Linked DNA regions of Oreochromis niloticus. The protein of the gene in region 1 purifies or fractionates together with the protein of each later gene. This does not show direct contact. Links are inferred from orthologs where the notes say so. Each region holds a gene or a part of one and is shown in the gene's direction. Other genes may lie near its edges.

Evidence for each region.
Region 2: the proteins of dhx9 (region 1) and hnrnpd purify together in Homo sapiens (affinity purification with mass spectrometry; 3 studies listed by BioGRID and IntAct, with this or other methods). This does not show direct contact. The link is inferred for Oreochromis niloticus from reciprocal best matches to the Homo sapiens genes DHX9 and HNRNPD.
Region 3: the proteins of dhx9 (region 1) and prpf8 fractionate together in Homo sapiens (co-fractionation; 3 studies listed by BioGRID, with this or other methods). This does not show direct contact. The link is inferred for Oreochromis niloticus from reciprocal best matches to the Homo sapiens genes DHX9 and PRPF8.

Annotation. Positions count from the first base shown.
Region 1 is NC_031982.2:34,273,604-34,277,355, reverse strand, and holds the start of dhx9 (ATP-dependent RNA helicase A), read left to right. Parts: upstream 1-1,003; 5' UTR 1,004-1,155; intron 1,156-1,948; 5' UTR 1,949-1,992; coding exon 1,993-2,103; intron 2,104-2,177; coding exon 2,178-2,318; intron 2,319-2,426; coding exon 2,427-2,535; intron 2,536-2,669; coding exon 2,670-2,836; intron 2,837-3,215; coding exon 3,216-3,364; intron 3,365-3,752. UniProt on the Homo sapiens protein: Multifunctional ATP-dependent nucleic acid helicase that unwinds DNA and RNA in a 3' to 5' direction and that plays important roles in many processes, such as DNA replication, transcriptional activation, post-transcriptional RNA regulation, mRNA translation and RNA-mediated gene silencing.
Region 2 is NC_031972.2:11,790,736-11,794,487, reverse strand, and holds the start of hnrnpd (heterogeneous nuclear ribonucleoprotein D0), read left to right. Parts: upstream 1-1,265; 5' UTR 1,266-1,638; coding exon 1,639-1,805; intron 1,806-2,782; exon of another isoform or gene 2,783-2,812; intron 2,813-3,163; coding exon 3,164-3,332; intron 3,333-3,688; coding exon 3,689-3,752. UniProt on the Homo sapiens protein: Binds with high affinity to RNA molecules that contain AU-rich elements (AREs) found within the 3'-UTR of many proto-oncogenes and cytokine mRNAs.
Region 3 is NC_031979.2:19,593,808-19,597,559, reverse strand, and holds the start of prpf8 (pre-mRNA-processing-splicing factor 8), read left to right. Parts: upstream 1-801; 5' UTR 802-1,013; intron 1,014-1,701; 5' UTR 1,702-1,710; coding exon 1,711-1,855; intron 1,856-1,971; coding exon 1,972-2,140; intron 2,141-2,246; coding exon 2,247-2,411; intron 2,412-2,509; coding exon 2,510-2,728; intron 2,729-2,833; coding exon 2,834-3,046; intron 3,047-3,245; coding exon 3,246-3,371; intron 3,372-3,536; coding exon 3,537-3,642; intron 3,643-3,752. UniProt on the Homo sapiens protein: Plays a role in pre-mRNA splicing as core component of precatalytic, catalytic and postcatalytic spliceosomal complexes, both of the predominant U2-type spliceosome and the minor U12-type spliceosome.

The DNA of each region.
Region 1 (3,752 bases):
GCCAAGTTTGTGAAGAAATTGCAAAACTTTCTGGACCGAGTTTGATTTCAGCGCTTGTTAAAAAATCAAGACAAGAATCTGAACTTAGTTAAAGAATCTCCTGGTTTAAAGAAAATACTCTGACCTTTTACCGATTTTTAACAAACTGAATCTCACTGAAAATAAAATATTATTATTATAAACTGTTAAGTCTCTTGTGTTGGAACAAATTAATCATCAGATGTGATCACGCAGTTTGTTGCTTTGCTGTTTGTAAATGCAGAAAGTTTGACTGTGCTGAACCAAATGACTCAGTTTTGTCTTTACGATGTGAAAATACTCTTTTAGATTCCTCTTTTTCTGCCTCAGATGCCCTAAATGAAATCAAGTTCCCACTGAAAATCCATTCGTTTCCTTAAAAACACTTTAAGAGATGCAGGCAGGGCTGTTAGATGATTTTCTACTATTGTTTTCACATGATCTATAAATCTTATTGAGCTCGGTCCTTCAGGTGCTTCAGGTTAAATATCTGGTGCCTTCAGGAGGGGAGCTCAGGTTAACACAGACTGATGAATGTTTCATTTGTCTGTCTGTCATATACAAGAAACATCACCTTCTTTAAAACACTCCAGATCAGCTGGTTTCACAGGAGTTAATGCCTGAATACAAAAAAAATATCAATTCAATATTATATTTTATCCATTCTGTTCTATTTTTTGTTCTGTTCTGTTCTTTTATTCTGTTCTGTTCTTTTATACTTTTCTAATACTTATACTAAATATAAACTAAAGGTTTATAAAACTGGCCTGGCTTTATTACTTTCACTGTAACTGGCATTTATAACTATGAGGCTCAAATCTGTTTCGCTGGTGTAAAGATGACTGACCTCTGTACCAAAGTGTTCATGAAAAGAGAAACATGGAGCACAGCTTTCATGTATTCTCTCCACTGTGTTAGAACAATAAAGGCTAAAAATATTTAGTAAAAGAAGAAGAAGAAGAAACAGAACTTGGTGGAGGACGATTCTCCCTCCGGCCTGAGGGGGCGCTGATGCACCGGGAGTTTATTTATTTTTTAACCGAAAGTGAAGTGCAGCCGGAGGAAGCCAAGGCTGCTAGGCTACCGGTGCTTAGCTGCTGAAGTCTGGAGCAGCTTTTGCATTTTTCTGACCTGACTGTAAGTACAAATACTTCGGGTTATTTATACCTGCATTTCTTCTTAATTTAATCATATTTTTAATGCGACGCGATGTGAGTGGCAGTTCCGGTGATCAGTAGCTAGCAGGGAGCTAACATTAGCCTGCAGTCACGCATTGATTCGGTTAATTTCAGACATTTATGTGAAACTAATTTTTATCTAAATTGTACTGAAAGTTTCAAGATAAGTGACTTAAATTCGTGATTATAAGCCATAAATGTAATTTTACGCTTTGAGGCTAATGTTAAATGCTAGCCAAACATTAGAGAGTTGAATCTGATGATGATAAAAGTCCACAGTAAAAACAACCCGCTGTGCTAATGACGCTGTTATCGTTTGTATCCCGAATCACCGCAGACAGCGGGATTTATCCTAGCAGTGGACAGTAAATGCATCCATGAAGACTGGGTTTGAGTTACTTCATTCAATTTCCGTATTAGATTTATGTTGAGTAAAGTGACTCTGATCCATACAGCCATGTTTACATAAGTGAGTCACTATCAAAGACCCGTTTGGGTTCAGGCAAGACCAAAGTTCATCTTAAAAGGTGGTAAGCAGACAGCAGCAAGGCTTCTACCAGAGTTTGGCCAGTTAATTATTTCAGTAATTTCTTAGATGTGATATTATCATTTCTCAGTTCAGCAAACCGACTTTTTTTGGCAATATTTACTGACTTTCATCCCTCTGTGACTCCAAACCAAATGATGTTCACAGTAAATGCCAGATCTAAGCTAAATATCGAGGAGTTTGACAGCAGTTTATTGTTTCTCAGATTAACGGGTTCACGGAATAGGAGGACCCTCCTGTCAGTCCACCATGGCGGACATCAAGAACTTCCTGTACGCCTGGTGTGGGAAAAAGAAGCTGACTCCAAACTACGACATCCGAGCAGCGGGCAACAAAAACAGGCAGAAGTTTATGTGTGAGGTGAGCGTTCGGTCTGACGTCAGGGGGTTTAACTCTGGGAGGTTTTTGTTAACCTTACACCGTACTCCCTGCAGGTCCGAGTCGATGGCTTCAACTACATTGGGATGGGAAACTCCACCAATAAGAAGGACGCGCAGACCAACGCCGCCCGCGACTTTGTCAACTATCTGGTCCGAATAGGAGAGATGAACGCAGCAGAGGTCCCGGCCATCGGGGTCAGGAAGCTGTTCCTGTTTTTCCTTCTTTTTTTCTGTAGAGATAAAAAACGATCATTTCTCTCACTTTGTCTCTTTTAAATGAACAAGTACGTTTTCTGCCATCAGGTGAGCACGCCCATCGCAGATCAACCTGATGCAGCTGGAGATGCTGGCTTTGGAAACCTCCCTTCTAGCGGTCCTCTACCACCTCACCTGGTAGTGAAAGCTGAGCAAGGTAACGGTAGCATGGTGGCTTTAACGACTCCAAACATCACAAGTTCTTACTTTAATGTGGTGAGTCGAGTCGGATTAAACGGGTTCAGATATTCAGCTGGTTTCTTTCTGCTTCTCCTTCTTTATTGTTCTCAGGGGACGGCAGCGTCAGTGGGCCGGTTCCAGGAGTGACCGGACTGGGTTATGCAGGAGGAGGAAACTCCGGTTGGGGCAGAGGAGGAAGTGACGGAGGAGCTCAGTGGGACCGAGGAGCCAACCTGAAGGAGTATTACGCCAAGAGAGACGAACAGGAAGCACAGGCGGTACAAGATAATTCCAAATTACAGTGCAGTGAAAAGCATTGGTAATGTTAACATTAAGCTCCTTAACAGGAAGTAAGCTGCTCCTAAGTTACAGTCGTCCCCCTAAAGCTCAAATCTGAACCAGAACCTTGGACAGATTTACTAAACTTGGAACAACCAGCCAAGTTTACACTACAGGAACTGCTGTTTCACTCCGAGGACTCTGCTTTCATGAAGGAAACTGGCACTCGGGGAATACTTTTTTTTTTTTTTTTAAACTTCGGCCATTAATAATATGCAGATGCATCATTAGAACCAGAATAAGTTCCCTTTTTTTTAATCTTCAGGTTTGATTTCTCTCCCTCGCTAAACAAACTCCCGCCTGTTGTTTTGTTTGCAGACTCTGGAGTCGGAGGAAGTGGATCTGAACGCTAACCTTCACGGAAACTGGACTCTGGAGAACGCCAAGGCCCGTCTGAACCAGTTCTTCCAGAAGGAGAAAACCAGTGCTGAGTATAAATACAGCCAAGTGGGACCGGACCACAACAGGTCTGGAATCTCAGAGGTTTTTAAACCGGCTGGAAATTCTAAACCAGATCCAGTCTGAGGGGTCACAGCTGGAACCAAAACAAACACTGTGATTTTAATGAGCTTCAGCTGCTTGATAATTCTCTTTAGCTGGAGAAAAATCAGAAGTATTTTCTAAAAGCAACTGTGATTTTGACCAAAGGATTTGATTTCTCAATTTTCAGTGAATTGACTGAATCTCTGCTGGAAGTATTTTGTTTCCCTTCAGTTTGGATTTGGTTTGGAGTTCACTGCCGGCCTTTGGCCACAGACCTGTTTTATTTTGCATGTTCAGACATTAAGTTTATGATTGTACTGATACTGCAGAGCCAGCGCTGCTTATTTTAGTCATTCAGCTCAGAGATAAAGG
Region 2 (3,752 bases), on another chromosome or scaffold:
GGGGCTGATCATGAAATTCCAGTCTTTAAAGGTGGCTCACTATGCAGTTCTTTCAGGATGCCTTTCTCATGAATAGAAACGGATGCACCAAGCATTATAGGAACACAAATGGGACGTCATTGTCATTGGACCATTTGATTGAATGGGAAGCTGTTGCTTTACATTTACAAGCCTGAAGGAAACTGCACATGACATGTGAGACTAGCTTTTTACCTTTTAGACGAACTGTATTTGACTGCCACTCTCCAAATGTATATGCGTGAACTGTATTTCTTAACCATTTTGTAAATGTTCATGTACCATTTTCCTTCCCCTCTACCCAAACAAATGTGTTGCAGACGTATGGAGTCCTGTACAGTTAGTGAACTGTCTCGTTTTAGAAAGTATAATTACAGTATAGATGCACTCAGCAGAATGAGAGTCTTCATTTGAAACTTTGTTTGAATGTCTTAATTAATCCCCTCACAGGTGAATGGTGTCTATTTAAATGTGCCATACTTGTTGTTCATTTGTAATGTTGATCTTGGGAAGTGAAAATACTGAAACATTGCCAGACTTTGTGTGAAACATTGTTGGTATTATTCAGGAAATTGACTTCTAATAAATGCCTTGTCTCCCCCAGAAGCCTGTCTTCTTCTTCAGTCCAAACTGTTTTAAAAAAGTGCTTTCAAATTGAACAGTAAGGATCACAAATGATAAAACCACAAAAAAGAAAGGAAAACAAAAAAACCCTTAAAGGTGCAATTTAAAACTGGTGCTTTGATAAGTAGCTTGTGTCAACATAACAGTGGTTCGTGCCAATAGGTAAGTGATTTTAACAATTTTTGCTCAAGATTAGTTAAAAAAATGACAAAAGTCTGGCTCCTTGGAAGAAAAATATAAATAAATGAGGGGTGAGACTTTTGCACAGTACTGTAGTCATTAAATTAAATTTTATGACTTAGATTCTGCATCTTATGATATTCTATAACATGCTGATGGGTGGGTTGGTTATTTGATTCATCAATCATGATGAATCTACTTTTTGTCTTTGGTGTATTATTGACCAAAGATTTGTTCAGAGTATAAATTACTAACTGAAAAATGTCTTTTACATAATTCTACTTTAGTATTTTTCTGTTTACTTTGCTCAGTTCCTTATTTTTGCCTCAATTACTTCCTCTTTTTCATCTGTAGTTTGCAAACTGCTCCACAAAAAAGAGGAAATTAAGCCGAAAATGTACTATTTGTTACATAAAGAGGGGGGCGGTCTAGCTTTCACGTCGGTTTGTCAGCCGGTTTTAACCGACGAAGAAGAAATGACGGCGACGAAAACAAAGCGACGCTCATAAGTCACCTCTCAATATTATCGTAACTCAACCTAATTTTTTTTTCATACCGAGCGGTGTTTTCTCCAATTTCATACTAACCCCACATTGGATTCACGTAACCTAACCAGTTAGCTTGTTCTAACTAGCGACAGACATTTTATTTAACAGCATATGATATCAAAATATTAGCCAGCTACTAGCCTGTCATCAGCTGACAGAAGCCAGACCGTTAGCTTAGCTCCAGCAGAGATATCTGACGTAGCTTGGATTTCAGAGCCCTTTAGGGGTGAAGCTTTAGTTTAAGACTTGTTCCAGAAAAAGCCGAAACATGTCGGATGATTATGAATTAAGCGACGACCCGAACATGATGAGAATGGAGGAGGATGGAGAGGCGAACAGTGACGACCCGATGTCAGCAGCGGGGGACTGTGGCCTTATGGGGGGCGAGGCCGAAGGATCAAGGATCGACGCCAGTAAAAACGAGGAGGATGAAGGGTATGGTGATGATGAAGGGTGGCTAGACTCAGGTTCACTGTTGATCTCTGTTGATAATCGAAAAGATGCTGTAGCTGCAGGACCGGATTTTTGCAGGACCTGGCATTGTTATTGTTGGGTACTACTTCTGCATTCATAAACTAAACATTACACTAGAACGATTTCCGAGGTGTTTGAGTGTTACCGGTTTGCTATTTTAAAAGCTTGGGTTTTAAAAGGATATGTTACACTAAAATAAGTGATATTTTCGAATATCATTTATTTTGAATATTTGTTATTATTTTCAGTTTTCTGTTAAGAAAAACAGCTTTGCCAGTTGTTCAGAAAATCAAAGTACAGATGCATGTACAGAGTATTGGTTTGTTATTGTGCTGTGGTGTGACAGAAGATGATGCCAAGAATAGGGTGAAGTATAGGCAGATTATCCGTTTTAACGACGCCTAATGGGAGCAGCAAAAAGAGGAAGATTGCGTTAGGTTACTATTCATGGATATTGGCTAATAATTAGCAAATGTTCAAGTGTTGGCAATATCAATCATTAGTGGAGCTAATGGTTCCAAAATTGTATGAAGAGCATACATTACAGTGCAGGATTTTTGTTTCCCTTTTTAGAAAAGGCTGAGAGTCACAGTGCTTTTATATCAACATGGTCACTGAATCCCTTAATTAAAAAGAATTAGAACAGGTTCAATTTAGGGAATATCTTAACATTTTTTCACTGCAGTTGTAAACAAAACCATCTTTCTTGCTAACTGGTTGGTTGCAGGTCTACAGTACTTCACTGGTGGATTTATATGCATGGTTTTCTCTGCAATAAAGTATTCTGATTCTGTTATAGAAAGGGGTTTCGGACTTCCACCATTTAAAAATCACCATCACTGTAAAATCACAAAACAATTACCCCCCGTTTTATGATTATAGTTGAATTTACTCAAGAATAAATACATTTCTCTTTATCAAATGGTCACAAACAACAGGAAGATGTTCACAGGCTTCTGTTAAGAAAGGTAACAGACTCTTTGCTCTATTTTAATATGGACAAAACATGTTTATATGTGAAGGCCCATTTTGATTTCGGAAAAACCATTGTATGTGTTCACATTTTGGATGCACATAAAAGATGAAATCAGGTCCTCATTAGTCACCTAATGAATGGAGGATCTGCTGTGTTTTGATATTGTATTGTCCGGATGTAAATTGATGATAAATTACTTATTAAGCAAGTTACATAGATTACTTCTAGCAAATGAGGGGACCTTTGAGCAGCCCAGCTGTTTAAAGAAGCTTGCATAGATGTCTTATAAAGTAGTCTGCACACATAGACACCACCTGCTTATTTTTGTGTGATTTGTCAACAGGAAGATGTTTGTTGGAGGCCTCAGCTGGGACACGACTAAGAAGGACCTGAAAGATTACTTTTCAAAGTTTGGGGAAGTTGTAGACTGCACGTTAAAGCTGGACCCCATGACTGGACGGTCAAGGGGTTTTGGGTTTGTGCTCTTCAAAGAACCTGAAAGTGTTGATAAGGTATTATCCTGTTCCCATAAGTGGATGTGTTTTTTTTAATTACCAGTGAATTTACTTTTCTAACAGACATGAACTTGCTGTGATTGTGCAGCTTCATGTCTGTGTGCGTGGGGGTTTTTTTCAGTTTTATTTAATGATTAGCAGAAAAAATTCATTTTTGGCCTTTTTGGCCTGTCATACAGACTTAAATTAGAATGAATGTAACTACAGTACTGCGAGGTTTATGAATAAAACATATAATAAAAGTTTGGTCTCAATGATGCCCAAACAATCAAACATCCATTCCGCTAAATCAAGATGAAAGATGAAATATTCACGTATGTAAATTTTTGTCAATTGTCTATATTGCTTTACAGGTTGCCTCACAGAAAGAACATAAACTTAATGGGAAGGTCATTGACCCCAAAAAAGCCAAGGCCA
Region 3 (3,752 bases), on another chromosome or scaffold:
AGGCAGATAAAGTTTTGCATTGGCATTGGCTAATTTGCCAATTGTATGTTAAAAATGTTCGTATTTTAATATTCAAAAATGTTTTTGCCCAAAACATATGTGCACTATATTTCCATAAAAATACTATGCAAATATTGCTGTCCTTGAATGCTGAATAAACAATGACAAAGCACTTATTGTATCTCTTGTACTTTATCAACGCAATATCTAAAAACTTTGCACTATAGTGGTTAAAATCTCATTCTAATAAGAGTTAAAAGCGCATTCGGTTATTAGGTTTATAGGGTTATTGAATTATGGTTAACGGTTGGTAGAAAGTTCTTTTTTAACATTATCTGCCAATTACATCTGCCACCCTTCTCCAAATCTGTACCCCTACCTGGCCCCCCCCAACAAAAATTTTCTAGACACGCCACTGTTACCTGCTATGTGACGTCTGGTCTGGCAGGCTCTTGTGTTTGTAGTCCCTATGGAGTCCCTAGGAGTACAAGGGGCAAAAAGGAAATGACAAAAGAAATAAATGACCTCATGTCAGAAATAAAACAAGAAGCAAATAACTGTAATGAAATACTTTGAATGTGATTAAATAATACAACACATCAGCAAATCATGTTTTTGTTTAAGCCACAAACTTTACAGGACTCAGTATATGATCGCTGACGATCGCACTCCAACACTGCAGGGGGCAGTAGTGCGCCGGAAACATGATCATCCGGGTATTCTCAAAAATTGCGCTTGTTTAACGTCTACGCATATTTTCTGACGTAAAGCAGATTCTTTACCGGTGGAGAGAAATATCGGACGTAACCGCCGTCTGTGAATAGTACTGAAGCTCGTTCATCGTGTGTCCGCTGTCGTGCGTCGTGCGTTTATGCAGTTTTGTGTTAGCGCACATCAGCCCAACACTGAGGCGGAAAAACACGGAGAATAAGAAAGAAATGTTGTGCTAGCTGACTGTGTGCGGATTAAGGCTTTATCCAACGATAAGAAACGCTGGGAGTGAAGTAAGCGAGGTACGTGTTGTTGAATGCATTCTGTTATCGCTTAGTTTTACCTCTCACTCAATCGTTAGCCACCGTGCTAGCTTTAGCAGTTGGCTAAGTTGCCGCTTCCTCCACGCTTGGCCTAATTAATAACTAGTGTTGCAGTGTGAATTACAATGTGTTACATGTAACATAATGTAGCCATTTATGAATGATATCCCGAGTTTACGCTGTTTCTGAACGGGCTAACGACAGTTAAACGCGGGTAAAGTTCGCCTTGCTGTTGCAGTTTTGTGCCATCCGGGAGGCCATGTTAGGCTAACGTAGCTAGCTCATCAACTATGAGCACGAAGATGTTGAAGCTACACAGATTAGTTAATGTGCAATAAATGCATTTTCTACCGAATTAAGAAGCTACTTATTATTTTTGAAAGGCATTTTTCTCCAAGGCCATTCTATTTTCCAGAGCTTGCAAGGCATTAAGCACACACGTTCACTTTGTGGCTTCTGTTATTTAATCTGTGGGTTGCAGGAGCCAGACAAGGAATTCATGTGCCAATGTAATAAGTTTCTGATCAGTCTTTGTTTCAGTTAAGTTAAGTGTAAGTTGGCTTGTTTGACATGTAAAGCCTCTCTCCTCAGGGTTTTCATTATATACAGTTATAATCAAAAATCTCACTTATTTTCATACCTTGTTTTGTGTCTTTGTTTTGGATAGTGAGGCACCATGGCAGCTGCCTTTCCTTACAGAGGCGTCCCTGCAGCGATGCCACCCGGTGTGCCACCAGGGGTACCACCTGCTGTGCCGCCTGGTGTGCCCCCTCCTGCACCTGTCCCAGACTACATGTCTGAGGAGAAATTACAAGAGAAGGGTATGTTGTTTGTATTGACTAAAGCAGGACTTCCATGTTTTGAGCTTTTAGCGAAGAAGTTTTCACAAATAGACAAGATTAACTTCGCGATTATTAAATGTCTTTCAACTCTACAGCAAGAAAATGGCAGCAGTTACAGGCAAAGCGCTACTCAGAAAAGAGAAAGTTTGGGTTTGTGGATGCTCAGAAAGAAGATATGCCACCTGAACATGTCCGCAAGATCATCAGGGACCATGGAGACATGACCAATAGAAAGTTTCGCCATGACAAGAGGGTCTACCTTGGGTAAAGATGACTCCTTTAACTCTTTTTAAAAGTCTTAACAAAAGTCGGTGTGTTTTCTTCTTGATAACATCTTCATATGTGCGTTCTGTGTCTGTCTGTTGAACAGTGCCCTCAAGTACATGCCCCATGCAGTGCTGAAGCTGTTGGAAAACATGCCAATGCCTTGGGAACAGATTCGAGATGTGCCCGTGCTTTATCACATCACTGGAGCCATTTCCTTTGTCAATGAAATTCCTTGGGTCATTGAGCCAGTCTACATTTCACAGTGGGGGTAAGGGAGAGTTTCTACTGCTGAAAACTTTCAAGCCAACTGTGCTCATTTCCATTCAATAAAACTTCAATTTGTCTCTTTCCCGATTTTAATCCCAGCACCATGTGGATCATGATGCGTCGTGAGAAAAGAGATCGTCGGCACTTCAAAAGAATGCGCTTTCCACCCTTTGATGATGAGGAGCCGCCACTGGACTACGCTGACAACATTCTTGATGTGGAACCCTTGGAGGCCATTCAGATGGAGCTTGATCCGGAGGAAGATGCTTCAGTTGTGGACTGGTTCTATGAACATCAGCCCCTCAAGGACACAGCCAAGTAAGCAGCCATGGCTCTCTTCACAGACAAAGATTTTAAGTTTTGCATATTCAACTGATGTGTTGCTTGAAACATTAATTGATGATTTATCTTTGTCTTGCTCAGGTTTGTGAATGGCACCACCTATCGTCGCTGGCAGTTCACACTGCCCATGATGTCCACACTGTACCGTCTGGCCAATCAGCTTCTGACAGATCTGGTTGATAGAAACTACTTCTATCTGTTTGACCTGAAGGCTTTCTTCACATCCAAGGCTTTAAACATGGCCATCCCTGGAGGGCCAAAGTTTGAGCCGTTGGTCAGAGACATCAACCTCCAGTATGTTCTTTCACCCTTTTAAAAAATGAATATTCTAAAGACTTACTGTTATTAATGTTAATAAAGTTTTTATAGTTTCGCTTTCAGAATTTAAATATTTCTTGGAAATTATTTGATATTGCTGTTTTAATCCAAACATAACGTGAGAACAGATGCTGGCTGTTTTGTGTCCTAACTGGTTCCTCTGTATCCTCTGTAGGGATGAAGACTGGAACGAGTTCAACGACATCAACAAAATCATCATCCGACAGCCCATCAGGACAGAGTACAAAATCGCCTTCCCCTACCTGTACAACAATTTGCCGCACCACGTCCACCTCACCTGGTGAGAACTGCTGTTTACTTGAAATGCTGGCTGACTGAAAAATCCTTTTTCATTCAAGACAGGAGAGACATTCATCACTTATAAACATCATAGATTTGCTGCATTATTTTTCATAATGGCTATATAAAAGCAACACTTGTGATGTTTTTGTTTTGTTTTCCCCAGGTACCACACACCAAATGTGGTTTTTATCAAAACAGAAGATCCCGATCTTCCCGCATTTTACTTTGACCCGCTGATCAACCCCATTTCACACAGACATTCTGTTAAGGTAATGCACATTATCTACTTATCTCCCTTTGGTGAATAACACCCTGCATCACAGTCCTCTTACAAAGGCGCACTTGCATTGGACTGCTTGCCCGTGCGTAAGAACTGGAG